4 linked regions of the Mus musculus genome follow. The protein of the gene in region 1 purifies or fractionates together with the protein of each later gene. This does not show direct contact. Links are inferred from orthologs where the notes say so. Each region holds a gene or a part of one and is shown in the gene's direction. Other genes may lie near its edges. The genes, in order: Cct3, Tle2, Nedd1 and Dcaf7.

What was found.
Region 2: the proteins of Cct3 (region 1) and Tle2 purify together in Homo sapiens (affinity purification with mass spectrometry; 3 studies listed by BioGRID and IntAct, with this or other methods). This does not show direct contact. The link is inferred for Mus musculus from reciprocal best matches to the Homo sapiens genes CCT3 and TLE2.
Region 3: the proteins of Cct3 (region 1) and Nedd1 purify together in Homo sapiens (affinity purification with mass spectrometry; 3 studies listed by BioGRID and IntAct, with this or other methods). This does not show direct contact. The link is inferred for Mus musculus from reciprocal best matches to the Homo sapiens genes CCT3 and NEDD1.
Region 4: the proteins of Cct3 (region 1) and Dcaf7 purify together in Homo sapiens (affinity purification with mass spectrometry; 4 studies listed by BioGRID and IntAct, counting the BioPlex papers as one, with this or other methods). This does not show direct contact. The link is inferred for Mus musculus from reciprocal best matches to the Homo sapiens genes CCT3 and DCAF7.

The regions. Positions count from the first base shown.
Region 1 is NC_000069.6:88,293,498-88,301,710, forward strand, and holds the start of Cct3 (T-complex protein 1 subunit gamma), read left to right. Parts: upstream 1-3,637; 5' UTR 3,638-3,738; coding exon 3,739-3,769; intron 3,770-5,844; coding exon 5,845-5,906; intron 5,907-7,302; coding exon 7,303-7,353; intron 7,354-7,431; coding exon 7,432-7,494; intron 7,495-8,213. Other genes in the region: Tsacc (TSSK6-activating co-chaperone protein), read right to left, coding at 1,262-1,336, 1,894-1,930. UniProt on the Homo sapiens protein: Component of the chaperonin-containing T-complex (TRiC), a molecular chaperone complex that assists the folding of actin, tubulin and other proteins upon ATP hydrolysis.
Region 2 is NC_000076.6:81,582,599-81,589,898, forward strand, and holds part of Tle2 (transducin-like enhancer protein 2), read left to right. Parts: intron 1-138; coding exon 139-288; intron 289-2,004; coding exon 2,005-2,143; intron 2,144-3,614; coding exon 3,615-3,775; intron 3,776-4,256; coding exon 4,257-4,330; intron 4,331-4,493; coding exon 4,494-4,743; intron 4,744-4,954; coding exon 4,955-5,202; intron 5,203-5,275; coding exon 5,276-5,423; intron 5,424-6,210; coding exon 6,211-6,361; intron 6,362-6,821; coding exon 6,822-6,898; intron 6,899-7,300.
Region 3 is NC_000076.6:92,710,845-92,718,615, reverse strand, and holds part of Nedd1 (protein NEDD1), read left to right. Parts: intron 1-2,355; coding exon 2,356-2,450; intron 2,451-4,425; coding exon 4,426-4,542; intron 4,543-7,304; coding exon 7,305-7,445; intron 7,446-7,771. UniProt on the Homo sapiens protein: Required for mitosis progression. Promotes the nucleation of microtubules from the spindle.
Region 4 is NC_000077.6:106,047,890-106,055,660, forward strand, and holds part of Dcaf7 (DDB1- and CUL4-associated factor 7), read left to right. Parts: intron 1-253; coding exon 254-372; intron 373-3,867; coding exon 3,868-4,077; intron 4,078-4,798; exon of another isoform or gene 4,799-5,039; intron 5,040-5,841; coding exon 5,842-5,959; intron 5,960-6,793; coding exon 6,794-6,966; 3' UTR 6,967-7,771. UniProt on the Homo sapiens protein: Involved in craniofacial development. Acts upstream of the EDN1 pathway and is required for formation of the upper jaw equivalent, the palatoquadrate. The activity required for EDN1 pathway function differs between the first and second arches.

The DNA.
Region 1 (8,213 bases):
AGAGGCAGTCCTGGCTGGCCTGACCTCACGTCAGCCTGGTATCCCAGGCTGTCTTTGATTCTATGACTATCCTCTTGCCTCTGCTTCTTAAGTGCTGGTACTACACGTATGAAACTACACACATACATATTTTTTTTAGACAGGGTCTGTGTAACTCAGGCTGCTCTGGAATTTGCAGCAATATTCAGACTCTGAGGCCTAGGTTTACAGGTGAAGATCACCATGTTCAGCTTCTGATACATGTGTATGTATCATACATACGTACACATACATGTTTCTTCTGTGTGTGCTTGTGTATGTGCATGTATGTGGAAACCAGAGGTCTACATCAGGTATCTTCCTCAATTGCTCTCCATTTATTTAGTTTCATGTGTATGGTGCTCTCCGAGACCAGAAGAGGGTATCAGCATTCAGAGCCTCTGAAACTGGAGTTATAGAAAGCTGTGAGCTGCCATGTAGGGGTGCTAGGAATTGAACCTGTGTCCTCTGGAAGAGTAGCCAGTGCTCTTAACCATCTCTCCTGTCCCTTCCACTTTATTTTTTTCTTTTTTGTTTTATTGGAGGGGTTGGTTCAGGTTTTCTCTGTAGCCCCTGATGTTCTGGAACTCACCACACCCAGCCTTGCTTTATTTTGCTGAGTAAGGGTCTCTCACCAAACCTGGAACTTATCATTTCAGCTAGACTGTCTCATCAATAGCCATCAGGGATCTACCTGTTTACTCTATGTCCCTGCCTCCATAAGTACTGGGATACAGACATATGCCACCATATCTGGCTTTTTTTTTTTTGTTTGTTTGGTTTTTTTTGTTTTTCGAGACAGGGTTTCTCTGTATAGCCCTGGCTGTCCTGGAACTCACTCTGTAGACCAGGCTGGCCTCGAACTCAGAAATCTGCCTGCCTCTGTCTCCTGAGTGCTGAGATTAAAGGCATGCGCCACCACGCCCGGCTCATATCTGGCCTTTTATATGATTTAGAGGAGCCACACTCAGATCCTCAGGTATGCATAGCAAGGACTTTACCCACCGAGCCACCTCTGCAGTGCCCCGACATATCCTTTTCAATGGTCCTAGGTAGCCAGTATTAGCAGCATTGTACTTGAGGAATCCCATGTTAATAAAATTTGGTCAGGATTCCACAACTGGCACATGGCAGTTGCATGGAATTAAGCCAGGGTCTCTAGGCAGCAAAGCTGTGATCTACTTAGTGACACTTTACAAGTGCTATAAAAATAACTCATCAAAGTCAGGTAGGTAGTACATGCCTGTCAACTCAGCAGCTGGGAAGGCTGTAGCAGGACTGTTTCGAGTTTGAGGACATGCTGGTCTATATAACAACTCTTTTAAAAAGAAGAAAGAAGGAAAAAGAAAAGAAAAGAAAAAAAGCTGGACACAGTAGGTCATACCTATAATCCCTGGGATGTGACTGTTCTGGCAAAAGGGTTGTCTCAAGTAAGGATAGTGAGTTCCATAGCCAGCAAAGTTAAACCTATCTCCTTTACCCAAAAATATCCCACAAGTACTTTCCAAGTAACCAAGTAGCAGGCCACTGTTTAGTGGCAAATGTTTAGTCATTTCTGAAACCCTGAGTGAATGGGGAAGGCTGGCTTCTGAGGGAGGGGACACAGGGGCTGTGACACACCTTTTTCCTTAGTTTCATTTCTGAAACCCTGAGTGAATGGGGAAGGCTGGCTTCTGAGGGAGGGGACACAGGGGCTGTGACACACCTTTTTCCTTAGTTTCATTTCTGAAACCCTGAGTGAATGGGGAAGGCTGGCTTCTGAGGGAGGGGACACAGGGGCTGTGACACACCTTTTTCCTTAGTTTCATTTCTGAAACCCTGAGTGAATGGGGAAGGCTGGCTTCTGAGGGAGGGGACACAGGGGCTGTGACACACCTTTTTCCTTAGTAGGGTTACTAGTGTGCTGCTCCATCTTGACAGCAACAGGTCTGGTGCCTGGGAAAGAATAATAGGGTCACATGGTCAAACAACAGTGTCTTCTTTCCTAAGCACTCCCCTGAAAGCCCGAAGTGTAACAGTATATAACAGTGTATACACTATCTCATAGAGGTGTCTGGTTTTAAATGTAAAATTTTTAAGTTTTAATTATGTGAATATGTACATATATGAGTAGATCTCCCTTGAGTGAGAGGTGACTGTGAGCAGCCAGACATCAGTTCAAGGAATTGTGCTGAGGTTCTCTGCAAGAGCAATATACCCTCTAAGCCCACTGAGCCTTCCCTCCAGGCTGCCTCCCTTATGTGGTCCAGGGAGACTGAAGCCACTGAAAATCGCTATCCTCTTGACTCAGCCTCTGGAGTTTATTACAGGGGTGTGCTACCACACCAAACAAACAACTGTTCTGAAATTGTTAATTTTTCTCCAATTCCCTTCGGCAGTTTTTGTTAGTGCCTTTTCACTGCAGAAGACAAAGCATACCAAATACGAACTTTAAATCTATCACAAACATGTCATGACTCTTTGAGACTTCTGTTTAATTACTAGCCTTATTTTTTTTGTTGTTTTGTTTTGTCTTTTTCCTATATGGGGTGATCTGGCAAGAGGCTTGTCTCCAGTTTGAGATCAGCCTGGTCTTTACGACGAGTTTTAGGCCAGCCTTAGAACTCTGGTAAAGATAATACGGTAATTAAAAAAACAAAAACTCTAGTTTCTTTTGTCACTAACCAGTGACCAGGCTGGGGGGGAGGGGGCGAAGAAGACTCATAATACTGCAAGAAACACGACTTAGGATATTCGGGGGAAATGTGAGCGATCCTCCTTTATGTCTTTTTGCCTTAGACTCAACGTATTTTTCTAAGAAGTAAGACATTAGGACAGGAGAGATAGCTCAACAGTTAAGAGCAATAGATGGTCCCGCAGACAGGGTTACTTCCTAGCACCCACGTGGCGGTTCACAATCAATTCCAGTTCCAGAGGATCAGACTCCCGCTTGATCGCCTCTCACAAGTGGTGCACCTACATACGCACAGGCAAAACAACCATACACATAAAATAAAAAATAGGTACATCTAAAGAACAAGAATTTTCCTTCCTTTTCTTTAAAAAAGAAAACCAGCGCGTCTAGAGCAGTAAACCACAACTCCCAGCATGCTCCGGGGAGGCGGGGAGCCGAGTCGTTGCCTCCCCGCCCCGTAGGACAACTTCCACTTTTACACTGCCTCAATCTCTCGGGCCACGACGGGTATTTCTGGCTCCTCTACTCCTCCCTACCGCTAAGGCTGAAATAAAAAGTAGAGAACTATCATGCCTTCCTTGGCCTTCACGGTCGGACGAGAACCGATGGACAAAACAGAGCTTCATGATCTTACCTACAGCATTAATCCAAAGCCTCCACCCCAGCACCCACCCTCTAGTGGGTACTCATGCGCTGTAGCGAGCCAGCTAACTGCCCGTGCTTTGGCGCTTGCGCAGACATTCTGGCCGCACGCGGCCGGGAGCGGCCACGCCAGTGCGCAAGCGCTTGCGTCTCCCAGTCCCCTACATCATGCCCTCTCTATCTAACTTGCCTTGCCTTTCTTGCGTAGAGGGCGGGGCTAATACTGTCGATTGGCCTATGTTTTTGTCAATCAATAAAATGAGTTTGGTGATTGGCGGCACTTCAGAGGTTAGCAGGTTTCTGTGTCATTCCTGAGGAGGCAGCGTTTTCTTCGCTGCTCTTCTCTCCAGAAGGTTCTGCCGATTCCCCCCAGCTCTGGAGAGTCGGCTCTGCGTCGTGCCGCCATGATGGGCCACCGTCCAGTGCTCGTGCTCAGTGAGTTCAGGGAAGGGATGTCTCTCTCCGCCCCTCTCTCCCCAAGCTGGCCAGTGTTGCCCAGCTCCGTCCCGCCATGACTCGGCCCTCGTGCCTTCCAGTGGTCTTTTCGCCTTGGACCAAGCTCCTTCCCCACTTTTCTTCTCTTGCCTCTCCTGTCGCCTTCTTTTGACAAAATGACTTTCCGCTCTCGGAGTCGCTAGTCTTTACGTGTGCTTCATCCTATTCGCGTTCGGTTCTTTAGTCGCCACCCTCCACGCCCCCGTGTCCTTTACAGCATGATTTCCGTGTAGATAGTAATGATGGTTCTTAACGGTAGGCCTTGCTTCCTATGCTCGGTCCATCCCTCCGTAGAGGCGTGACTTAACGGCAACTCGCTTGATTGATACTTTAGCATCAGTATTTAGGAGGCTGTAGTAGAGTTGTTAAGTTGATAAGTAAAAGCTGCCTTTACCGGCAGATCGAATCGGAAGTGGCATCTTTTCAGTAGCGGTCATTCAGCAACCCTTGTTCGGAAATGACATTCCTGGCGTTCCCGATCTTGGATGTGATCTTTCCCACCAGCCAGTTCTCCCAAATTCCTTTCCTGGTTTTCTTTCCTCTTTAGGGAACGCCACTCATCTCAGTAAAGAGCACCAGTTCCTTGTCAGTTACCTGAGCTATTGAGAATAACTCAGTAAGCCTGGGTCAAAGTTAAACATAGTAAAGAGAAAAACAGATTTAGTCTGGCCACACTGGGAGGAGAGACAAAGGTGTTCAGTGACACTACCTCTCCTACACACTCGTAGACGAGTCCATGAGGTTTTAAGCAGCAGGCCAGATTTGTAAGAAGTCATTATTTTCTGCTCTAGTCTCCTGAGAGAAGTTTACCTACAGGGTGGCTCTCAGGCTTTAGTCTTTTTCCTGTTCTATCGTGAGATTCCTTGGCTTGTGATTGATATTTTGTTTGTTTTCGTCTGTGTATGGCACCAAGATTCCCTGGAATTGGAGTTACAGGCAGTTGTGAGCCACCTTGAGGGGCTGGGAATTGAAGCTGAACCATCTTTCCAGCCTCACAAGCAGACTTTCTTGGTCACTAATCTTTGAGACTCTGTGGCTCCTCTTCCCGGGGATGTTGTAAGGGGTGTGCAGTCTTGTGAAAAATCACTGTCCTACTGAGGCCCATTCAGGGCACTCAAGATATGAATCACTGGAAATATGTAAGCATGCATACAAGGAAAGTACTGGTCAAGACTATGAAGTTGAAGCATTTCAGGTTATCTCTTATTATACCGGGGGTTCTCTCATTATCTGTGTTTTTTGCCTGCCTCTATGTCTGTGCCTGCAGACACCAGAAAAGGACATCAGATCCCCTGGAACTGTAGTTAGAGATGATTGTGAGCTACCATGTTGGTGCTGGAAATGAATGCAGAGATCTCTGCAAGAGCTTCCAAAGGTTTTAACTACCAGGCCATCTCACTTCGTAACTGGCTAGCCTGGAACTAACTCACTTTATAAACCAAGTTGGTTGGTGTTCAAGTCACAGAAATCCATCTGCATCAGTGCTCGGATTAAAGGCATATGCTACCACGCTCAACCTTAAACAGTTGTAATTGACTGCTGGTTATACACTGAAAACTTTGTATTTATTTTTATTTTCAAAACTTGATGAATAGGGTTGGTGGTAGGATGGCTCAACAGGTTTAAAAAAAAAAAAAAAGCTCCTGACACTAAGCCTAATAATAACTGGAGGTCTTTTTGTTGTTGCTATTTTTGTTTGTTTGTTTGTTTGTTTGTTTGTTTCATTTGAGGCAGGTTCTCTATATATATGCCAAGTCACAGAGATACTCCTGACTCTGCCGTAAGTGCTGGGGTCAAAGGCATGCACCACCCTACCTGACTTGGATGACCAAGTTTGATCCCTGGCACCCATGTGATAGAAAGAAAATTAACTCTGAAAGTTGTTTTCTGACCTCACAGTTTTGCCAAGCATTTGTACACCTGATATATACATTAAAATGTAGCATTTTTTTTAAGTTAGGAAATAAAATGATTGTGTACACTGGGCTGTTGACATGTGTTTTTGTCTGTTTTAGGTCAGAACACAAAGCGTGAATCTGGAAGAAAAGTTCAGTCTGGAAATATCAATGCTGCAAAGGTAGTGCATGTTTTATGAGATAACAGCAGTTTGTTCTGGCTGACTCTCCTAATACTTCCTTATTGGTAGTAGCAAACTTCCTATGGTTCTGTACTTCATACAATGAGCAGAGGAAAACTTGCTTTTTTTTTCCAAGGCATTTCCCTGGTGGTGATACAGGAAGGGAGGTTTTTAAAAGATTTGCTTGTTTTACTTTACTGTTGGAGTGTTTTGCCTCCATGCATGTATGTATGTGTGTACATGGCATGGAAGCATAGAGGAGGTGGTCAGATCCCCCTGAAACCGGAGCTACAGGCCATTGTGAAAGTTCCCGTATCAGTGCTAGGACTTTAATCTAGGTCCTCTGAAAGAGCCCTGTCCCCTCTTGTTTGGGTAGCCTAGAATTTACTGCGTATAGTAGGTTGTCCTTGAACTCATGGATCTACTTGCCTCTGTCTCCCAAATCCTGGGGCTAAAATCATGTGCCACCACTCTGAGCTCAGTAAGTATATTTTTGAGTGAATGATTAGAAGTCTTGATTTCATGTGGACCAGAGGCCACTGTCAATAAAAGTATTAATGCTGAACTCTTAGGACACTAAAACTGAAATAGCTTCTGAAAATTTATTTGTTGTGTCTAAAATAGTTACCATTCTCGTCGTTAAGTGCCATTGTTAAACAGTGGCACTGGCTGGAGAGATGGCTGAATAGTTAAGAACACTTGCTACTCTTTTTTGTTTGTTTGTTTGTTTGTTTGTTTGTTTTTTTCAAGACAGGATTTCTCTGTGTGGCTCTGGCTGTCCTGGAACTCAGTCTGTAAAACAGGCTGGCCTCGAACTCAGAAATAAGCCTGCCTCTGCCTCCCGAGTGCTGGGATTAAAGGCATGCACCACCACACTATTAGACATACTGGAAGAGGGCATCAGATCCCATAACAGATGGTTGTGAGCCACCATGTGGTTGATGAGAATTGAACTCAGGACCTCTGGAAGAGCAGTCAGTGCTCTTAACCACTGAGCCATCTCTTGAGCCCCAAGTATTTGCTACTCTTGCAGAAGACGTAGATTTGATTCCCCGAACCCAGGTGGTAGCTTACAACCTCCTGTAACTCCAGTTCTAGGGTATCCAACATGCTCTTCAGGCCTCTTTGGTCACCAGGCATGTATTTGAAGCACAAACATATATTTAGGCAAAACACTCATACCCATAAAAATAAGTCTTTAAAACACTGGCTATGCACTGGGCATGGTAGAGTATGCCTTTAATCCTATCATCGAGAATCAGAAGCAGGCCTGTCTCTGACTTCAGGGCCAGTCGGAGCTACCTAGGTAAACCCTGTTTAAAACAAAACAATGGTTATTAGAAACACTCACATTATTCTCTGCTGTGCTTCTTGTTTTGTGTTTCCTTACCAACAGACAATTGCAGACATCATCCGGACCTGCTTGGGACCTAAATCTATGATGAAGGTTGGACTACCTTTTATTGGAATTCAAACCCCATGTCCTCCTTTTTTTGTTATCTGTAACACTTTTGCTTTTTCTTAGATGCTTTTGGACCCAATGGGAGGCATCGTGATGACCAATGATGGCAATGCCATTCTTCGAGAGGTGTGTTTGGTTTTGTTGTTTTGTTTTCTCACCTCCTTTCTAACAGTTTTACAAATACCAAGAACCTATTCAGGTACATATAGATACCTGGGCATAGTGTTGTATGCCTCTAATCTCAGCACTTTGGGACCAGAGGTAGAAGAAGTAGGATCATGAGTTCAAAATCATCCTGGGCTAAAATAACCCTGTCTGAAATCCAAGGGTTATCAAGGCATGATGGCAGTGTGCCTCTAATCTCAGTATTTAGGTGGTAAAGGTAGGAGGATTAGGGATTTGAGATTAATTTTGCAGGTTCAAAGCCTCTGAGTATTTGGGACAATAGGTTCAGAACATTATGCCTGCCTAGTCTGCTATGGTTGTCTTAAAAAACAAACTCCAGATGTGGTATATGCCTGTCTTCTCAGCATGAAGACAGAAGAGTAATTGGAGGACAGTCTGAGCTATGTATCAATAATTTGTCTCACAAAGGGAGGCTAGAAGATATATCTCTGTTACAGTGCATCTTTCTCATTCAGAAGGACTTAGATTCAATTCCCAGCACCACAAAATAAGGTGATGCACTAGAAACGTAATTTTCCCATGAACTGAAGCTGTAAGTGTGATATCAAGGTTTCAGTGGGGCCTAGTTCTGAAGACTAAGTAAGAATCTCTCGTTTCTTATGCCAGTTAATAATGTTTCTCAGTCCTTTCTGTTGTAAGTGCAGAGCCTCTGTTTCCAT
Region 2 (7,300 bases), on another chromosome or scaffold:
GAGGCCCACAGGACGAAGGAAGAGGCTGCGCCCCACCGCAGAGGCTCCCAGTCTCCATGAGGTGGGGGCCACATGGCAGCTGTGGGAGTCTTTCCTGCTTCACTGGTCCCCAACCCAATGTCACCTTCTTGAATTCAGGACCAACCGTCAGAGCCCCCCAGCCCTGTGACCACCCCTTGTGGGAAGGCGCCCCTCTGCATTCCTGCCCGCAGGGACCTCACAGACAGTCCAGCCTCCTTGGCCTCCAGTTTGGGCTCACCACTCCCCAGAAGCAAAGACATAGCCCTGGTAAGGAAGGCAGGGTGCCTGAAGCCCCTTTTATTCGTCCCAGGGTGCAAACAGTTCAGTGAGCAAGCCAGCCGGGCCGGGCCAGGGCAGTCTGCATTTTCTTATTCATTTTGTTTGCTTGCTTTTGTTTGGTTTGGTTTTGCTTGTTGGTTTTTGGTTTTGTTTTGTTTGGGAGACAATATTTCTTAGCCTCCAACTCTTTACGTAGTCTAGGATGACACTGAATCCCAACCCTCCTGCCTCCCTTACCACAAAGGACCTTTTTTTTTTTTTGATTCTTTGGGCTTCTCTTTTCCCCTCCCACACGTCTCTGTTGAGCCTCAGGAAACTACTTTAAAGCAGCTAGTTGACCAAGCTGGGCAAAGAAATAGGACTGAGTCAGGTTACTCGCTTTCTGCAATGGTGACCCCCACAACCACAGCACCGGCTCCTCGCTGGTCTAAGACTTGGTACCAGTGTTAAGTGCTCCTAGAATCCAGCAGAGGCGTCCACTAGATGCACGGAAGTCTAACTCTCTCCCTGCATCTTGCCCAGACCCTCTGTCCTCCAAGTTACCCAGGGACAGAGATTTGTTTCTAAGCCTCCCTACCCCTGCAGGTTACCATGACAACTGCCAGCCACCGTGGGCTCCCACTTTATCTAAACTCCTCCCCACTCAGAGAGACCTTGGGGATGCAAAGCCACTCTAGCCAGCTGGGGAAGCCATCAAGGGCATCCCTCAGACCACGAGGGTCACCGTCACCCTGTGTGGGAGACAGACACAGGCCAGAAGGCATGGCGGCTCCCCATGGTGGCACATGTCAGCCCAACACTGAGAGGTTGGAGGTGGAAGAACAGGAATGTAAAGTCAGTCCAGGGCTAGCCTTGGCTACCTGAGCCCTGTCTCATGAAACATGCTCCCAAAAAGAGGTGGGTGACATGTTTCACCTAGGGCTGAGGACCCCTCTTGGGCCAATAGTCCCATTGCTCTGGGAGCTGTGATTTTTGTTAATTGCCTTTTGAGACAGGGTCTCGCTATATAGACCAGATTGGCCCAGGACTCAGAGATCCACCCACCTCTGGAGAACTAGGATTAAAGGTTGCACCACCACATGTGGCCATGTCTAAATTAAAACATTTTTTAAAGCCAGGTGGTGGTGGTGCGTGTCTTTAATCACGGCACACAGGAGGATCTCTGAATCTGAGGACAGCATGGTCTACAGAGTGAGTTAGAAAGACAGAGCTAAACAGAAAGACACTGTCTTGAAAAACCAAATAAAAAATTTTTTTTTTTTAAAAACTTTGTGTGTGTGTGTATCTACACAAGTGCTGTAGTATGCATTTGGTGGTTAGCGTCAACTCTGGGGAGTCTGTTCTCTCCTTCTACTGTGTGGGTTTTGGGGATTCAATACAGAGTGTAACTCTTGGCTAAAATCACTTTTACTTGCTGAGCCATTTTGCCAGTCCAATAGCCTCTAACGTTGCTGCTGCTATCTATTGGTAACACAATTGCTGTCCCCAAGGGCCCCCACCTCTATGCATGAACCCTGTACTGTGGACCCAATTAACACCCACAATCCTGAGGATGTAGTTATACCCCTGACCCAGTCACACCCAGCTTTCCTCTGTGTGCCCACCAAATGTCTGAGAGATTGGCTGGCCACAGTACATGTGCCCTCGATCCCCTCTGATGACTTCAGCCCGCTATGGTGATTCGTGGCCTTTCTTTCTCCACAGAACGATCTTCCCACAGGCACTCCTGCCTCCAGGTCATGTGGTACCTCTCCACCCCAGGACTCGTCCACCCCGGGGCCCAGCTCAGCCAGTCACCTCTGCCAGCTGGCGGCTCAGCCGGCAGCACCCACAGACAGCATCGGTGAGTCCCCACCTGCCCAGCATAGCTCCCCCAAACAGAAATGATGAGAGTTGGCACACGACTTTAATCCTGGGTGGGTTAGAGGCCACCCTGGGCTACATAGTGAAACCATGTCTGAAAAAAAAAAAAAAGGTGGTAAGAGCCAGCCTTGGCTTAGAGAGGGGTTCTGAGAGAAGGGGTGTCTGGGAGCGCTGAAAACAAATGAAGTCAAACAGTGGGTCCAAGCTGGTGGCCTGTGTTGTTCTCTGTCCTGTCCTTTCTTCCTGACCTGCTTTCTTTGGAGATCTCCAGTCAGGCGCCCCCCCCCCCCTTTTTCTGCTTGAGACAGTTCTCCAAGAACTTTTCTCTTGGTATTCTAAAACCTTTCTCTGGTTAGCTCATCTCCTGCAGGTCATAAGCCCAGGCTTTTATTTTCCGTGTCAACCCAGTCGTTTACTTCCTCTTGATTATCCTATGAACCCTGTGACCCCAGCCCCTTAATCTTTAGGAGACAGCAAGCACACATTTCCTTTTAACATTGCAAAAAGGATTTAGAGATCTGCCTGCCTCTGTTAAGCATAGATGCTGAGCTAGCTGGGGAGTGGGGGGAACCCTCCCCCCCTACACACACCTGAAATTACCATTTTTACCACATCTGGGCCTGGAGTCTGTATTCCAGGCTGACTTTGAACTCAGGAGTCTGCTTGCTTTTTTATCATTCTGACAAGCTGGCTCCTAGTGTAGCTACCTCTGTTCCTTTAGATTCATGAGGCTCCTTATACAATTTTTATTGCATCCTTATATTTTTGCATAGTTGAGAAATTATGTATTTTCAAACTTGGGTTTTTAGAGTTCTTTCCCACAGCCTTAAAGACTGTCCTGAAGGTTCCTGAGTTTACCATTTTGCTAAGATATTGGCTACACCTTCCGCTCCTGGACTCAGAGATGTCTGATTATCATGGAGTCACTCCTGTTAACAGGGAGGACATTCCTTAAAGGAGGAATGTAATATCTATCTGTTAGTATGCACGCAAGTCTTTTGGCCTTGGCAGCCTTCGACGCTTTTGGAGACCACATCTGCTTGCCCTGTCCCAGGAGCAGGAACCTTGTCAGTCTGTCCCTACCAAGGCCATGCCAAAGGAAAAAAAGATAAAGGGCTAGAGAAGCTGACTGACAGCACACCCCAAATTTACCACCTGGAACTGCTTATAACCCCCGACCGGGTGCTGCCTGGCTCTGGGCTCAGTTTCTTTGTTGCTGCTGCTTAGGTGAGGACACTGAAGCCCAGAACACCAATGTGACTTTCCCAGTTTAATGATTGTGAGACAAACGTGTGCCTTCACTAGCTGTGTGACCTCAGGCTAGTCGCCCAGCCTCTCTGAGCCTTGGCTTTTCCTCTCACTGGGTCTGGGTTTTTGAAAGACTTTGTTCATCAGCTGAAGGCAGGGAAAGTGTGGTTTGGGTATCTGAGTGTGTGTCCCTTTTCACTCAGCCCTGAGGAGTCCCCTGACCTTGTCCAGCCCTTTCACCTCATCCTTCAGCCTGGGCTCCCACAGCACCCTCAATGGGGACCTCTCCATGCCTGGCTCCTATGTCGGCCTCCACCTGTCCCCCCAGGTCAGCAGCTCTGTCGTGTATGGACGCTCACCTCTGGTGAGTCCTTGGGGAATGGAGCACCAGGATAGTCAGCAGAGTTCAGAGATCTGGGGGGTGGGGAAGGAGGAGGAGAAACCAACTCACCCAAAGAATAAGTAAAGAGAGAGGCTGAGACTGAACTCAGTGGTAGGGCGCTCGCCTGGCACGCACAAAGCCCCAGGTACATACCCAGCACCATATAAACCAGGCATGTGGTGCCAGCCTGTCACCCCAGCATTCAGGAGGCAAACGCAGGACAATCAGAAGTTCTAGGCCAGCCTAAACCACACATTAAGTTAGCACTTGCCATGTGGGCAAAACAAAAGGAATAAAGCTGGGTTAAAAAGCCTGGCCCAGGAGGTTACTTAAAAAAAATCCAAATAGCAATTTTGCAAGCATTTCTGCTTGCTTGGGGAGGGGCCGAGGGACAGAGGGGTGTGGGCTGGGGCCTGGGTGAAGAGGTGCTGGCCCCCCTGCCCTGGGACTCTCTGTTCTCCAGCAGATGGCATTTGAATCGCACCCCCATCTCCGAGGCTCGTCTGTCTCCTTGCCTGGCATCCCTGTGGCTAAGCCGTGAGTAGCACATGGGCTGGGCCATCTCCAGGGTGTGTTGGAGGCCTGGGTCCCTTCTTCCTGGGAATGTCCCCTGGGTTACACCTTGAGTGCCTGTCACTGGCAGTGTGGGTACCTGTGCTGGGGTTAGCCACCCACCCACCTGTCTCTGCGGCCTCCACAGGGCTTACTCCTTCCACGTGTCTGCGGATGGCCAGATGCAGCCTGTGCCCTTCCCGTCTGATGCTCTGGTAGGCACAGGCATCCCTCGCCACGCAAGGCAGCTACACACGCTGGCCCACGGTGAGGTGGTGTGTGCCGTCACCATCAGCAGCTCCACACAGCACGTGTACACAGGCGGCAAAGGATGCGTGAAGGTGTGGGACGTGGGCCAGCCGGGTAGCAAGACCCCTGTGGCACAGCTGGATTGCCTGGTGAGGGTGGGGCCTGTGCGGCTGGGTAAGGGTTTGGGGTGGGGGCGTTGGGCAGGGTCTTTAGGGTTAGGGCGGGGTTTACAAGGCTGGGTGGGGTTTGTAGGGGCTAAGCCAGGTCTTTAGGGTCAGGGCGGGGCCTACAGTAACGCATGGATCTGTGGAGACCTGGGGGAGTACCAACCCTGCCTGGCCCTGCTTCTCGCCGTGGTAGAACCGAGACAACTACATCCGCTCCTGCAAGCTGCTGCCCGACGGGCAGAGCCTGATTGTAGGTGGCGAGGCCAGTACCCTGTCCATTTGGGACCTGGCAGCACCCACACCACGGATCAAAGCAGAGCTGACTTCGTCTGCCCCGGCCTGCTATGCTCTGGCCGTCAGTCCGGACGCCAAGGTCTGCTTCTCCTGCTGCAGCGACGGTAACATCGTGGTCTGGGACCTGCAGAACCAGGCCATGGTCAGGTGTGTGGGGCGGCCCCGGGGGTGGTGAGTGCACAGGTGACTGCAGTCTTGGACGTCTGCTCTCGCCCTGTAGACAGTTCCAGGGCCACACGGACGGGGCCAGCTGCATCGACATATCAGACTACGGGACCCGGCTGTGGACTGGGGGCCTGGACAACACTGTGCGCTGCTGGGACCTGCGCGAGGGCCGCCAGCTTCAGCAGCATGACTTCAGTTCCCAGGTGCGCTCACAATCCTCGGCCTCCCCGAGGGTGTCCCTACCCGGCCTGAAACCGGATAGGACACGGGGACTGAGGAGACAGCTTGGTGGGTAAAGTATTTGCCTTGATGGCAGGAGTTCAAATCTCTAGAATCCACATAAAAAGCCAGACAGACATAAAAAACCTGCCTATAACCCTGGGCATGCCGAGAGCTGGAGGGTCAGAATAGTCAGTGGGAGACGGACTGCCTTACATACGCCTTTAAAAATAAGATTTACTTATTTTACTTATATGAGTACACTGTAGCTGTCTTCAGACACACCAGAAGAGGGCATCGGATCCCATTATAGATGGTTGTGAGCCACCATGTGGTTGCTGGGAATTGAATTCAGGACCTTTCTTCAGCCCAGGACATGTCTTTAATTCCAGCAATGGGAGGCAGAGCAGGTGGATCTCTGTGAGTCCCAGGGTGGTCAGAGCTGCATAGTGAGACAGTCTCAACCCACCCCCAAATACAAATACAAATAAAAAACCACTGCTAGACTAAGAGTGACTGCAGCTTCTACCCCTGATCCTGACTCCCCATCAGTCAGAAGCAGGACACAGTCAAGGCTCAGCCCTGGACCTTGAGCCACCTGTAGAGCCAGCTCCCTCTGCCCAGAATCTCAAGGTGCTGTGTTCCTCTGATGAATGCTAAGGTGTGACACCTGTCACTGGCCACCTTCTTGTCCCCATTTGGGGCACCCCTGGGCCTTCTTCCAGCATCATGTGTGACCCCAGGGTCTCAGCACTCTCTCTCTTGACCTAGATTTTCTCATTGGGCCACTGTCCCAATCAGGACTGGTTGGCTGTGGGGATGGAGAGCAGCCACGTGGAGGTCCTGCATGTGCGCAAGCCTGAGAAGTACCAGCTCCGCCTCCATGAGAGCTGCGTGCTGTCACTCAAGTTCGCTTCCTGTGGTACAAGCCTGGGAGACCCCTTGGCACAGCAGAGGGAGGGTGGATGGATGGGGGTGAAGCCTTAAATTAGATAACGAATTACCCAGGCCTGCCCACCCAGCTGCTTATTCAGGTCAAAGCCAGTTTAGATAAATGCACAGACACATTTAAAAAAAAAAAGATGGACCAGGCGAGGTGACTTGCATGCCTTTAATTCCAGTACTCGGGAGGCAGAGACAGGTAGATCTGAGTTCAAGGCTAGCCTGGCCTGTAGAGCCAGTTCAGGACAGCCAGGTCCACACAGAAAAACTGTCTCAAAAAAAAAAAAAGACAGCTATCAAGGACACTCCATGTTGCCTGGCAGCTCTCAGCTTTTTGATACTGCATAGTAGGCGGCTTCAGGAAGGAGTGAATTTCTAAGGTTTCCTACCCTGGTGGTCACTCCCATCCTCCCCTCTGCCCCCTCCCCTTCCCATCTCAGGACGCTGGTTTGTGAGCACAGGCAAGGACAACCTGCTCAATGCCTGGAGGACACCCTATGGGGCCAGCATTTTTCAGGTACCTGGTCTCCCCCAAATGGAGGCCAGCTCGACATTTCCTGTCCTAGACACTTCCTGTTACAGAGTCCCACACTTTGGGTCCCTCTGTGTACCACAGTGGATTTATTATAAGTACACTGTAGCTGTCTTCAGACACACCAGAAGAGGGAATCAGATCTCATTACAGATTGTAAGCCACCATGTGGTTGCTGGAATTTGAACTCAGGACCTCTGGAAAAGCAGTCAGTGATTTTAACCGCTGAGCCATCTCACTAGCCCTAGGTGGCAATTTCTAATAAGTCTCTTGAACCTTCAATGGATGTGCTATAGTGGTCTTTCACATTTCCTGTCCTTCCTAACCATCAAAGACCCCAGGAGTCTCCAATCCAGAGCAGTACCATTATCAACCCTTCACATGTCA
Region 3 (7,771 bases), on another chromosome or scaffold:
AAACACATACCGTTTTGATACAACCATGAAGTGTTAAGAATTGCCTAGATTTTACCAGTATCACAGTATTAATACTCTCCCTAATGAAAGGGAAACTGACAGGGCTTTGAAATATGACTGATTTATGAACAAACATATTAAGTGTTTTTAATCTCAAACGACTGTTCTTACACATACATAACAAATGACAACTTTTCTTATTGAATTACATTTCCCTCTTGATCATTCCTCAGTTTTTGCATGCAAGCAGTAAGACCAATTACTTGGATACTCTATTAATCAGATTGTGAAGGACTCTCCAGCCTGTCATGTGGAAACTATTTTAAGGAGAGTGGCAAGCGTCTGAAGTTGGGCCTCACTATTTTTAGGTTTTGATTGTATTTACAGCTTCACTTTTTTTTTTTTTCTGGGTCCCTTGAAGAAAAGAAACAGTTCTTAATAGGATGTTTTTTTGTTTTTTTTTCCTGCTTATCTTTGTTTTGGGGATTGTGACCAGTACAAGTGCATTCCGTAGTGTGGCAGTGAGGCAGTGCTGTGTGACTTTGAGAAGCTCGTCTTGTCTGTGTAGAGAGCTTCATGTTATCTGTACTCCTAATGAGGCCATGGTTTAGTTACTACTGAAAAGCAGAGTTCCAGACACAGCAAGTCAGGGCCCCAGTGCATAAATTCCAAGAACAGGTTAGTATGAGGTGCCAGGGAAGTTAGTTTCCTTTATTCTTTTGGTTTCCATACTTCTTAGGACTTCTAAAATTACAAGAAAATGTAGAAACTACCTTCTCCTCTCTTACCTTCCTTCCTGTGGTTCTTTTTCTGTGGTAAACAGAAGAAGCCAGTGGCTTTCCACTGTGGCGATATGTTGGTAGAGATTATTTTATTTCCCCTAGAAATGCTGTGTGTGGATTGCCCTCTAGCTCCACTCAGCACTTGCAAAAGCAAGCCTGTGGTTATATTAGGAGAGAGGGCATTGGCGACTCGCTCTGGATTTCGGCACTGTGCTGATTCATTTGACAGTCCACAAGCCAGAGAATTGGACTCGGTTCTTATGAAGATTGGTACCTGTTGATGGCTTAGCTGCTACTTGGAGACTCCATTCTTAGGGTAGAAGATGATACTCTTAGCCTTGACTCCAGTGGAGTTCAGACCTGGTTCAAACTAAATAAACTTTCTTATCTTTTTAAAGTAGTGCTCTGTCTGGGGTGTAGCTCAGTTGGTAGAGGCTTGCCCAGCAGGAGTGAAGCCTGATTGGAAGCATGATGTTAAGTCAGGCACAGTGGTACACACCTGTAACCTTAGCCTTTGCAAAGTGGAAGCAGGAGGACCGGAGTTTGAAGGTTGTTCTAGGCTACAGAAGCCCCCCAAAACTTGTGATCTAGTCATAAAATACCAGGATACTCTGCACAATGTCAAAATAATGGAATAAGAATTACCTAGCTGCTTCCGTTGTTTCCATGCATAGACTTTGCTTACTAAAAGTAGAAAGTCTAAAATTCCTATGCTCTTTGCTGAACCTGATGAGCTGACCCAGTCGGTGGGAGGAGAGAATGACGTCTGTGAGTTGTCCTCTGCCTTTCACCCTTGGAATGTGATGTGTGGATGTGCGCACACACATACAAATCAATGTAAAGCACTATGATATTTTAACGTGCTGTGACTTTCCAAACCAGACTCTTATTCTTGGTTAAATTATTTAATCATTTTGGTTTAATATATGTTGTTTTATACTTACTTATTACCCATGTATAATTAATATAGAGTAAAATAAAAGTTTTAAGATTAACTGAAAATAATTCAAATTTGCATAGCATACATAGATTTTATTTGACCATACCCAATCATGTTTACTATATGCTCTATAATATTCATTAATAATATATTCATAGTTGAAGCGTCTACAGCAGTGATTCTAATCCTGAGAAAAGAACAGTCTTCATTTTTCAGTTGGAAGAAGTAGGAAAGTGATGTGGATGCTGAAGATGATACTGAGCGCTTGATCGATAGAATAGTCCCTCAACAGATTTTGTATATGAAAAAGCTGATTATTATTTCTGTTTGTTGCATTTCTCATGTTCTCACATCTGAAAGGGTAAACTTAGACCTGGCCCACTCTGGGAAGGGAGTAGTGTTTCTCATGGGCTAAGTATCTTTCAAATGATAGCGTAGTCAGAGGGATGGTTATCCCTGCAGACCTGGAAAAGAGAATCAGTAGTTGGTAGCCGGAATCATTTTGAAAGCTGGTATATGAGCCGCATTTGTGTACTGGTCTCTATGCTGGCTTACATGACTGTGCTCCTGAGACTGTAGTTGGGTGTCCCGGGTGCCCATGGACTGCTTGATGCTGCTTAACTCTTCATTTAGATAACTTTCTAGTGACAGCTTCTTCCAGTGGTGACAAAATAGTGGTGTCAAGTTGCAAATGTAAGCCCGTTCCACTTTTGGAGCTTGCGGAAGGGGTAAGTTACATGCTTTTAACCTGCTTACAATCTCGCTTTGCTTAAGTGACCGTGACTTGTTTGTTATGCGTCTTTGTTTAAAAACATTTTTCATCTAAACTCTGAATAATACAGTAACAGGTGGGGTTACCGAGAGGTTGATAGGTGAGATTATAATGATTTAGGAGAGCAGTTTAGGCCTTAGATTTCATTAGGAAGGGACTCTCTCTGTTTCCCCTTTTGTCAGTGCACGACTAGGCCACTAGGTTGACTTGACCTTGTGAACCCTCATGATGTAAGTGTTCCTGTTGCCTGTGGGTGCAGCAGCAGCAGCAGGGTCTGGTTCTGCAGGTAGCCTTCTGCTTTAGATGACGAGCACTCAGCACTCAAGGATGTGCTTCCTTAAGGCTGGAGTGGAGGGGTAGGGCGTTCAGGGAGTTCTGGGCCCACGGCACACAGGGACACTCTCGCTCTCACTGGGTATTTCTTTATCCCTGTGTTTTTAAAAGTTTATTCAGGATAACACCATTTTCCTCATTTCCAGTCTCACATTCAAAAAGCTATTCTTCAAAGAGAGTGGCACCTAACGACAAGGTCCTTGTCGCTCCTTGCTGCTGCTGCTTTTTCCTTTTTTACTTATTCATTCATTCATTTGGTAAACTTAAATTTCACTTCCAGCACAGGTGTGGAGGCTTAGAGACAAAGGTACAGGGGGAGTTTGAGGCAGACTGGGCTACCGAACTCTTCAAGATGGGAGTGATAGCGATCTTGGGACTTTTGGGTCCCTTCAGGGTGGCCAGCAAGCTGCTGTTGAATTTAATATTAAAGCCAGGTCAGTTCCTCCAACTCTCACAACTGGCTGGGCTTTGTCACACTGGGTTTTCAAGTCAGCGTTTAGCGCCTCTGCCCACTTGTTTTTTTTAACTTATTTGATTATGTGTTTGTTTATTTGGACAGAGTCTCTTGTGTAGTTCTGGCTGCTGTTTAGTACCTGGAACTTGGTATTTAGACCAGGCTGGCCTTGAAGTCGTCGAGATCCTCCTGCCTCTGCTTCTTTAGTGTTTGGATCAAAGGCCTGAGTTAAACCAAGTCCAATTCCTCCCATTAAAGAAAAGTAGTATACTTTGTACTTTGATACTTCCGATTCTATTTTTGCTTTAATACTATAGCAGATGACAGATACAGATGTGAGTCATTCTGAGAACTTGGTGAATATTCCTGTTCATTTGTATAATTTTAGCCCTTCCCACTTTAAGGCATTACATTATAAAGCAGGTGAAGAAATGTTCATTAGAGTTCTAAGTTTGAATGTGCTACAGTTATAAGAGCTTTTTGCAAGCAGTTTTTTTAATAAAGGAATTTATTAAGAACTTCTTTTACCATGTTAGGGCTGTAGTCATTATTTTGTGGGCCCCCAGCTTTGTTAACTCACATGCTACTTGAGCTATTGTGCCTTTACACTTGGGGAAAGAAATTCCCATCCTACTTATTTTAAAATATTTTTAGAATGAAAATTTAGGTTCCTGGTTTTGTTTTTAATTTCTTGTTTTCCTCTTTGAAGTGGACAGATTGGTATTAACGATATTATAATGGCTATTGTGGGCTACAAAATAACTTTGAAATTTGATCACCTTGTTTTTAGATTTAAAAACTACGTTTTAATATTTTTATCTTGTAGATACAGTATTCCTATAATACCATACAATTTCTATTAATTATTTAAGTTCATTAGATTCATTAAAATACATTAAAGGTCTTCTACCAACAAGGTAAGCTAATCTTAAGTATGGGTTTTATTCTGAACCCTTAACAATAATTATACCTGTGACAGCTGGCATCCAATATATCAACCTTTGGTGGAAACCATCTTTATCTACTTATTTTAAAAGTTATTTTAATGGCTATTAGGAAACTTTGATTTGCAGTGCAAGTAGATTGCTTATGATCATCTCTGCACTCTGTTAGGCTAATTTTGTTTGTTTGTTTGTTTAAATAGCAAAAGCAGACATGTGTCGATTTAAATTCTACATCAATGTATTTGGCAAGTGGAGGCCTAAATAACACTGTTAATATTTGGGATTTAAAGTCCAAACGACTTCATCGGTCTCTTAAGGTAAGCAAATATATCATAAATATTTATGGAATGGGTAGCTCACACCCTGTTTGGATGGTTACCAAACCTTGTCCTCGATATTGGATGCTTTAGCGTCAAAGTGGGCTTTATTGGGGAGATACGGGTGCTGTCTGGCTGAAAGTTTTCCTCATAAAAATTGTTGATTCATGTTGCCTTTTCTTTATTTTTTATGTGTTTCTATTGTTTTGAATGAAGTATTCTTCGAGGTTTTCTTTTTCTTAAGTGTGGTTTTGTCATCAGGGATCTTGTTTTTAAGGATTTTGGGAAAATGTGTGTGGTTCTGGACTTCAGTAACCAGAGTTGATGGTTCAGCTTCTTGGTTCTTCAGTGGGTTTGGCTTCTACTGTTGATGATATTTTTGCTTGCATATTTTTAAACTTGGAAATGGAATAGTTCTTAAAATAATTTACTAATTAAAATCAGTGTTCCCTTAGGTAGCTCTTTGTAGTTTCAAAAAATAAACATATTCATCTCAGGAAAGTGTGGTCAAGACTTCCGTAGCTTGACATCCAGCTTTTTTAAGTATTTAGAAGGTATTACAAAGTTATTTCTAAGTTTGTCACTTATAAGTAGTTAATATAAAAATTTAAATAGTTGTATCTATGTACTCTCCTATATACACAGAGAAGACCTCCCTTTAACTGTTTGTTAACCATGTTACTCATTATCTGATATTAGTAGGCATTTTGTGGCCAGTAATGTTTCATCTGTGTCCTCACCCGTCGTTGGACTGTTTGTAGGATATACCAGACATTTGGTTTTTGTTTTTCTTCCTCTTCTCTCTTAAAGTTAAATTGAGATGGGATCTTGTAGTAGCTTTGTGGCACCTTTGGAAATTTATAGTTTTATGCCTAGCTAAACTTTGAAGTGTATTTAAACTCTTTTTAGAATAAAATAGGAAACTGAAGAGTTGCTACTAATGAAATAGTTAGCTTTTGTCTCGTCGTTCCTTACTATGCTAGCTTGCGAGTGCTTACTGTTTAGTTCAGTGACTGCAAAGCAGCAAACATTCTCATGCGAGTTAGATGTCAAAGAATATGTATTCTCTCCACTCCACAGTGGCGGTCTGTGCAAATACACACCTTGCTCTTTGGTCAGTCTTTCAGTTGTGCACTATGTGAATTCACACTGCTTAGAGGGATATGCCTATTTTGTATAGGGAGTATCTTACCAAACTGAAAGAGCTGAGTCTTGGACCAGATTGTCAGAGTTTTTGGCTTTCGCTTGCTTGATTCCTATATGGCAACCTTCTACTCATTTCCTCTCCTCCATTTTCGTAATGCAGACAACCTTTTGTTTTCACATCATTTGGAATTCATAGAATGCTTTATTGTCTATTTTAAGTCGTATTTCCCCATCCATGAGACTTTTTTTTTCCGCCCTGAGTTCTTTATCTACGCTCTTATCCCTGGTGATGTGAAACAATCTCTGGCATTGGTTAGTGCATAGTGTTTCCTGGCGATGTATTTTCCACAATGGAAATTGGGAAGACAGTGCTTGTTTCCAGAGGCACAGACATTCTGTTGAATGACACGCTCTTAATTCCCTAGGTCAGCACTGCCCATCAGTTTTCCCCTCAGGCATTTGTGCTGTGATAGAAGTGGGGAATCACCTGATAAAGTTGTACTGCAGTGTGATGTCCATTACTTGTTTTGTATCAAGTTTAGGATATTTATCTTAGTAAATGACAGAATACTAAAATTGTTAAAAAAACAAAACAAAAATGCCACCCTTGTAACTCACATCAGGGTTACATGTCCTGCTACATGTCCAATTTGATGCTTGGAAGCAAACCTTGTAAACTAAAGTCTTGTAAGTCTTTTTAATCCCTCAGAGTAGATGCTGTGCGTGTTTGGGAGACAGTCTCTTTTGGGAGGGCCAAGGGCCCTGGAGATTGTCTTGGAGCTGAATCCTAGTCTGTCACTTAGCACATATGTGAGATGCACCAGTCTCTTATGCTTTCATGTCTCATGTGCCTCATCTGTAGATGGGGAAAATGACATTGCCTCTTAAGAGTTTTAAAGATTGGCTAGTTAGTGTGTGATGCCCCAGTGGGAGCACTGATATCTGCTGTCTCAGGCTGACCTGTTACTTTTTCTCCTCCTTTGCTATGTTTGCTTTTCTTCCTTTCCTATCTCTAACTCACCTATGATCTTTTGTTTATTTGCTTGTTTGTCTTTTGCGACTAGACCTCACTATATAGCTCAGGCTAACCTAGAATTCTATGTGGTACAGTGAACTCACGGTCCTCTTTAGTGTAGGGATTACAAGTGTGTACTACCAGTCCCCACTCTTCTTCTTTCTTTAAGGTTGGATTCTGTTGTATGTCTCTAAGTCAGTTGACAGTGATGTCTGTTTCCTCCTTGTGTTCCCTTGATGCCACTCTTCATTTACTGTCATTTTGGAGCTGATTTTAGTGTCTTCTAGTTGAACAATAATACTCAAGAGCAAATGTTTAACTTGAAATAAATGTTATCAACATCACTGGAAGGCAGGCGGTTCTGGAAGGTGAGCATTAAGCCAGTTACCGTTCTAGACTGTTAATGTTTCAGACTCTGTGGACATGTAAGATGGTTCTGAAAAATTGTCTCTTAAGACTCTGTGGATTCTGTGGTGTCCTAATCAGCTCAGTGCTGTTGTGTTTGAAGGAAACTCTTAGCCCAGGTATTGATTAACAGCCATACTCTTTTCATCAAAATATGGGGGTTAATGGCTGCTCTTCTTCACTGTGTTTCTTTCAGGATCATAAATGTGAAGTAACTTGTGTGGCATACAATTGGAATGACTGTTACATTGCTTCTGGGTCTCTCAGTGGTGAGATTATCTTACACAGTGTAACCACTAATACATCCAGCACACCTTTTGGCCATGGGAGTAAGCAGGTATGGTGTTTTGTCTTTTGTTTGTTTTTTGTTTTTATAAAAATAAAATTAATAACTTATAATTTGAATTATTTTACATAAGAAAGTAAGTTTAAGTTTTTTAACATTTATAAGTTTTATTTAGCTTTCTGGAAAACTAGCTAATTTGTAATGTAATACTAGAGTGCTTGTATGAATTCACTTATATAGTTAACTATGTAGTCTTTCTATACTATATCTGTATTTCTAACAAAATGAAAATATTTTCAGATAGCACAATTCTAAAATGCATTTCTGATACAGAAGTATTGCAACCTTCAACCTGTATTGGCCATAAGATGGATAAG
Region 4 (7,771 bases), on another chromosome or scaffold:
GAGCTTAGCTTTTCCTGTGTGTCTATCACATCTAGAATCTAAGGTCTTGCAGATGTGGTGGTGCAGTGCAGGCCGGGAGGTCCTGAGTTCAAGGTCAGCCTGAACTACACCAGGGTACCATGTCTCAAGAAACTCTCCTCCCTACCACAAAAGACAAAAATGAATGTTCAGGACGTGGTTGTGGCCTGTTGTCCCTTGTGCCGAGCAGAGCAGGGGGAGTCTGTATGTCTCTGACATGCTCTGATGTCCGCAGGTACCTCAAGCATTGACACAACGTGCACCATCTGGGGACTAGAGACCGGGCAAGTGCTGGGACGAGTGAATCTCGTGTCTGGCCATGTGAAGACCCAGCTAATTGCCCATGACAAAGAGGTAATGTTTTCCTTTTCTCCTATGCTGTCTGCACCTGCAGGTGAGAACAGAGCACTTAGTGTTCTCACGCTGTTGCAGGCTATGTAGATCATAATGTTGGCATGTAAATTATAATGTGTTAAAACAGAAAACAACACTTATTGGATGCACCCTTTAAAACATGTTTTATTTATTGCTATTATTATGAGAGAGAGAAAGTGTGTATATGTGCAGGCACGTGTGTACCATGGTGCACGCGTTAGGAGTCAGGCAGATGTCTCCTCCCACTGTGGTTCCAAGGAGTGAGCTCAAGTTGTCAGGCATGAACAGCAGGTGCTTTTACCCCATGGCTGAGCTACCTCCCCCCACCCCCAACGTGCATCATTAAATGACTCTAACCACCTAACCTAGAGTCTCATTTCTCCTTTCATATCAAAGTTTGTTGCTTTTTTTTTTTAGATGAAGTCTCTTATAGATATCCTAGGAGCTGTTTAGAGTAACACTTCTCTCTGAATGTAATGGCTTCTCAGAGGTGGGGGGAAACAGGAAGGAGGAAAATTTCATGACAGACAATCGTAATTAACCACTTTTCTCTGAAACCAGCTTGTGAACTCTAGTACATTTACTTACTCTTTCTACTTTCGGTCGGTCCTGTTAGGAGGCAAGTGTGTTTATTGGTGGTGTTTCCGCTGTTTATCAGGAAAGCGAGGGGAGCGTTCCTCTGGTGACTGGGGAAGCCAGCATAAGTCTGCTTCCACAGTGCCTGTGCCCCTGTCTTAGTTCCTTTGCTGCCCCTTCACCTGCAGTGCGAGTAGTATCAGGGTTTGTATAGGAGAAACGATGCCTTAAGGCCATCAACAGAGTATCATGGAGCCAGGTAGCCATTCCGAGGGTTTGATCTTTGGTGTTCTGCTCTCCTGAGAGGAAGCTCTTTTGCAAGACTATGGGACTTGACTCCTGCTAAGCCAAGGGTCAAATGCAGAGTGTGTCTGCAGAGATGACCACTAAAAGAACTTGTGGAAATGTCCCAGAATCCAATTTCCTACCTCTGATTCATTCCTTTGTCTAAACTATCTAGAAGCAGACAGCAAATTTGGGGCCCATCCAAACTTGACCTGTAGCAGTCAGGTCTCTGTGACCCAGAGAAGAGCAAGAGGAGCAGGAATGGATCAAAGCAAATGGCAGACCTGAAGGAAGGAGCCTGGGGATGGCAGATCTGTCTGAGGGAAAGCCGTGTGTGTGTGTGTGTGTGTGTGTGTGTGTGTGTGTGTGTGTGTGTGTGTGTGCGCGCGTGTGTGTGTGTGCGTGTGCATGTGGTGAGAGAGGAGGAGGGAAGGTTTGCTGCCTGGCAGGTGTAGTAGAGGAGAGTTTAGTGCATTGGAAGTTGCCACCTTTCCTCTTTCATGATGAACCCCACAGGTAGAGCACAGATAGATAGCAGAGCAGTTACCTAGGCTGAGAGAGTCTCTGCTCCGAGCCACACAGTGGGCATTCCTGGTGTCTCTGCCTGAGGATTACCTAGAGCCAACAGGACAGCAGATGCCAAACACAGAACAAACTTTTTAGAATCTTGGTAATAATGACAACTGACATCAGGGTGGAAGATAAGAATATCTCACTAAAAATGGAGGATCTGAAGCCAGGCTGGGGTAACATACACCTTTAATCCAGGAGGCAGAAGCGGGTGGTTCTCTGATTTGAGGCCAGCCTTGTCTACAGATCAAGTTCCAGGACAGCCAGGAACAGAGAAATGCTGTCTTGAAAACTAAAAAAACACCTTTAATCCCAGCACTCAGGAGGCAGAGGCAGGCGGATTTCTGAGTTCCAGGACAGCCAGGGCTATACAGAGAAACCCTGTCTTGAAAAACCAAAAAAAGATAAAAATAAAAATAAATAAATAAAAAGTAAGGTCTGGGGTTGAAAAGATGGCTTAGTGGTTAAGAGCCTGACTGCCCTTCCTGAGAACCCAGATTCAATCCAACACCTACATGGCAGCTCACAACCATCTATAATTCTAGTTCCAGGGAATTCTATGCCCTCTTCTGACCTCTGCAGATGCTAGCTATTCATGCAGTCCACATACATACAAGGAGCCAAAATACTCATATAGATAAAATACAAATCTTTAAAAAAAAAAAAAGTAGGTCCTTTGTCCACTCTTGATACTCAGGGACAAATACTGCTAGTAGATCCTCATCTATTTCTGATCAATATACTAACCCCTTTTCCTCTAACCATAAAAAATACTCTATGTAAGATTGACTGATTCAAAAGGGCCAGGTATAGTGACACATGTCTGTACTCCTATCACTTGAATGGCAGATGCAGGAGGATCAAGAGGTTTTTTTTTTTTTTTTTTTAAGATTTATTTATTATTATATCTAAGCACACTGTAGCTGTCTTCAGATGCACCAGAAGAGGATGTCAGATCTCATTACGGATGGTTGTGAGCCACCATGTGGTTGCTGGGATTTGAACTCAGGACCTTCAGAAGAGCAGTTGGTGCTCTTAACCGAGCCATCTCTCCAGCCCGGATCAAGAGTTCTTAGTCATCTTGGGCTATATTATAGCAAGTTTAAGACTAACCTGGAATATATGAGACCCTGTCTTAAAACAACAGGAAAAGGAAAGAGTGATGGGTTCCTGGATGCCTGTGATTCTAGTGCATAGGAGGTAAAGATAAAACCGTCTAAAGCTTGCCAGCCTGGGCTACATAACAAGACCCTGTCTTCTTAGGCCTGACGCACTAGATAGACAAAGGCTTTGTCTGGTGCTGTTCTACTACATAAGGACGGACGGACGGACGGACACACACACACACACACACATACATACACACACACACATACATACACACACACACACACCACAGCCCTTACCACGTATCCAACCAACCTGGGCCACAAGAGATTTTATTTTTTAAGATTTATTTATTTTTATTTTATGTGTATGGGTGTTTGCCTGTATGTATGTATGTCCTTGTACCACATGTGTGTATAGTATGAGAAGGCCAGAAGGGGGTGTCATCCTCCATTCCAGAGTTACAGATCACTCGTAGCTGAACCTGGGTCTTCAACAAGAGCAACAAGTACTCTTAAACACCAAGCCATACCTCCAGTTGCCCTCTTAAAAACACAAAACCAAAAGTCATGTTACCTTTTTCATACAAATGGATCTCAGGTCTAGGTTTTATAGCTGGCCAGCTTGGTAGAACCGTATGTGGATTTATCGTGAATCGGCATCTGACTGCGTGTAAGTGAAACCACTAATAGCCAGAAAATACAGAGTCCTATTCAGACCCCCGTGTGCTGTGCTAGTCAGCGAGAGCATCTCAGGGTTTTAGAGGAGAAGTAGGAAGCAGGGCATGGGAAGAAGTCAGCCAGTGTCTGTGGTAGGATGATGTGTATTCTCTGAGAAGCCACTCGCTTACCTGCTGTGTGGTGAGTTGGGGTTCAGATGGTCTGGAAATGACAGCCGTCCACGCTGTGAGCTGAATCTGGACCTTCTCCCCAACAGGTCTATGACATCGCCTTCAGCCGCGCTGGAGGGGGCAGGGACATGTTTGCCTCTGTGGGCGCTGATGGGTCTGTGAGAATGTTTGACCTCCGCCATCTGGAACATAGCACCATCATTTATGAAGACCCACAGCACCACCCCCTGCTTCGCCTCTGCTGGAACAAGCAGGACCCTAACTACCTGGCCACCATGGCCATGGACGGGATGGAGGTAAGCCCCGAGCCTTGACCCTTGACTCCAGTCTGTCCAGTATATTTACAAGAGTAGCTTTTAGATGGTGGCAGTTTTATGCCCAGGATATCTTTGGAAATATAAGGAGATGTTTTTGATTGTCAAAAGTTAGAGTGTGTAGTAAAAAAATAAAATAAAATAAAATAAAATAAAAGGAGGAGGTTAAAAAAAATAGAGAGTGGAGTCTTCCTGGCATCACATGGGTAATGACTACGAAGGCTGCTCTCATTCTGCAGTCCTCAAAGTCCCCAACAGTGTCCGTGCACAACAAGGGCCAGTGGGGCCTGACTGAGGATCCCATCAACAAAAGGACTCGGAGCCTTCTCCCTGCTTGTTTGGTGAGACAGAGTCTCTGTAGCCCAGATGAGCTTGGAACTTACTGTGCATCCTAAGGTAACTGCAAACTCACTGCCATTGCACAGCCTTCTGTGTAAGGATCTCTGATATGGTGGAATGTGGCTTAGTAGCAGAGTGCTTGTCTAGCATGCTCAAGGCTCTGAGTTCTATCCCCAGTACAAAAAAGAAGCAACAACAAACAAACAAACAAAAAACAAATGCATACACACACAAAACCCAATAAACTTTTGCTGGCCATGTTAGCACACACCTTTAATCTCAGCACTTGGGAGGCAGAGACAGTCAGATCTCTGTGACTTTGAAGCCAGCCTGATCTACAGAGTGAGTTCCTGAACAACAAGGCCACATAGAGATACCCTGTCTCAAAAATAAGTAAGTAAGTAAATAAATAAATAAATACATACATTTCTGCTAGAGTAAAGCTGAGACGAAGAGTGGTGGTGCGTCTGCAGCCTGGGACTCAGTGCAGACACCACAGTCAACATGATTCTTGGAGTTCTTCATGCTCGTCCCTGTCGTTTGCTCAGTGGCCTCCCTCTTTGGGAATGTGGTGTTTAATAAGGAAGCTGATCCTATACAGAAACCTCAAGGATGAGATAAGAGTGTAAGTCAGAGCAACAGGCATATGGAGGACTTGCTGTCCTGGCCCAGAGTGTGCAAGAGCCTTTTAAGCTTAAACACATGTATGCGTATGTTTCCCAGCTTCAAATTTGAAGTCATTGAAAAACTCTAGTCCTGAAGAAATAATATTAAATCCATCTGGTAATTTGTCATGAATTAGTTATATAACTAATTTTAAAAATGCAAATAAACATTTCACGATAAAGAAAAAAGGGTTAGACGAGTGACATCTAAGTGACTAGAATTTAAACCAAGTCACAGTTACTGGGACTGAATGAAAGCGTAGGCCTTCCCATTTGGTGTTCTAGGCCGACTCTCCAGGCAGATGCTCAGACAGCAGCTCTGTGGTCTGCTAGTTCTTATGAGGGGTGGATTGTTGGTCGAGAGGATACAGTAGTTAGCCTTGGTTTGGGTGCAGCTTGTGCCTCAGAGTTCTTACATCCCGGATTGTGCATTGATAAGGCATGTGAGACCTAACTAAGATGCACAGGCCCTTAGCAAAGATGCTTGTAGATTATCCTAACTCACGTGGCCTGTTCCTGCTTCCCCTTCTCCTTCAGTCTCTTTATAGTCTCCCAATCTCTCAGCAAGGAGAACACATGGTCTGTGTTAGCTCATTGTTTTCTTCCCTTCTCCATCAGGAAACCCTATCTCTAGTGTTCTCGGATCCATAAAGGAAAAGACCATGCTTACAGTGCTGTGTTCATGATAGTGCTTTCCTGCTACACTCTGCAATTATTGGGCCTTTTTCTTGTATTTCTGCAGGTGGTGATTCTGGATGTTCGAGTTCCCTGCACACCGGTTGCTAGGCTAAACAACCACCGAGCATGTGTCAATGGCATTGCCTGGGCCCCACACTCGTCCTGCCACATCTGTACTGCAGGTAACCATGGCGGGAGGAAGTATCAGGCCAGGTGACTGTGGTGGGTCTTAAGGTTTTGTGTTAGTTTTGTTATTTATTCTGTTGAGATAGGGTCTTGCTGGATAATGCTGCCAGGTAGTGACCCGCTGTATTTATCAGGCTGAGCTCCAAATGGCAGCAGTCCCCCTGCCTCTGCCTCCAGAATGCTGTTACAGTCATGTGCCACCACACCTAGCAAAACACATTCATTGGCAATAGTTCAGGTTTTTTATTTATTTTCTGATGGTGCTGGGGATTGGACCTAGGACTTTGAACGTGATAAGAGTTACTCTATCACTTAACTCTGTTCCCAGTCCCTAATGCTGGGGTTACAGGCATGGGTGGAATTTTTTTAATGTTGTATGTTTATATAGCACTTTATGTCAACCATCTGTGTAACTCATTGAAATGTAAATGTACATAAACTGGGAAACAGTCATCAGAGAAGCATCTTTATCCACGCAAGTATTTTTAGTGGCTGTCAGTAACATCATAGTTTGGGGTCATTGTATCCCGTGTCCTTCCCTGATTCCTGACTGCAATGTCCTGATCTAATTCTCTAACCCTGGTATAGTAAATGGAGCTTAATGACACCTGGGAAATGGAGTCAGGACCTAGATTTGGTCCTCACTGGCTACATGGCAAGAAGGAGCAAGTCTGGTGACATTCCTAAATCTTGGTTTCCTCTTCTCTAAAATAAAGCCCTTTCACAAAGCTTTGATGAACAAATGTTTCACAAATTGTGACTGCCTCTCCAGATGCAAGATTGTTACCCCATTGCCTGAGCTATGACATTCTTGCTTGCTTTTTCCCTAGCGGATGACCATCAGGCCCTCATCTGGGACATCCAGCAGATGCCTCGGGCCATCGAGGACCCTATCTTGGCCTACACAGCTGAGGGAGAGATCAACAATGTGCAGTGGGCCTCCACTCAGCCTGACTGGATCGCTATCTGCTACAACAACTGCCTGGAGATACTCCGCGTGTAGTGTTGGTGGCACCTCACGTATCCGGCAGGGGCTTGTGTGCTTCAGCCTCTGCCCCCTTCCCTCCCATGTAAGAAGAACATGTTCCCAGTGGCCAGTATGTCTACTGCTGCTTTACACCCACTGTGTTCAGAAGCTGCTGTAGAAGTCCAGGCCAGTTACCCCGCTGTCTGTGTTGGACTGTGCTGTGTGGCGCCACTGCAGCCCAGGGCTGGGTTTTAAATTTTCACTCCTTTCCTCTTCTTTGCTTCTTCAATTAAACGTTTCTGTATATTTGTTTGTCAGCTGTTGTGTTCATAAACAGTACAAGCACTGGCTCTGTCTGTGTCCATTTGCCCATGTCTGTCTGTCTGCTGCTGAGGCAGTCATCCATCTCGTGTCCCCATCTGTGTCGTGCTAGCACTTAAGTGGGAACAAAGGCCAACTTGAGATTGTCTTTCCTCCTGGCACCAGTGTCTTTTAACAAACCTCAACTTTGTATGTTTTTTATCTATCAGGCTAGTTTTTTTATGAAAAGAATTTAACCTTTCTGGTTTCTTGATTTCACAGATTTCCCTCTTTGTACCTTCCTCTCTTCCCTCAGTGCCTGCAGTGGGTACTGGACCCTAGACCCCACGAGCAGTTTGCTTTCCTGAGTCACTGCCTGTGGGGCACAGCCCTGACCCCTGACCGGGAGTTGACAACTGCGCTGGTGCTCTGAAGTCTACTGACTCACCAACCGTTCTCAGCCTGGGTCTCCTGAAGGCCCTCGGAGGCCCAGGAGATGCAGGAGGCTTCTGTTCACCCTCAAGTCCCTTTCTCTGGCTTC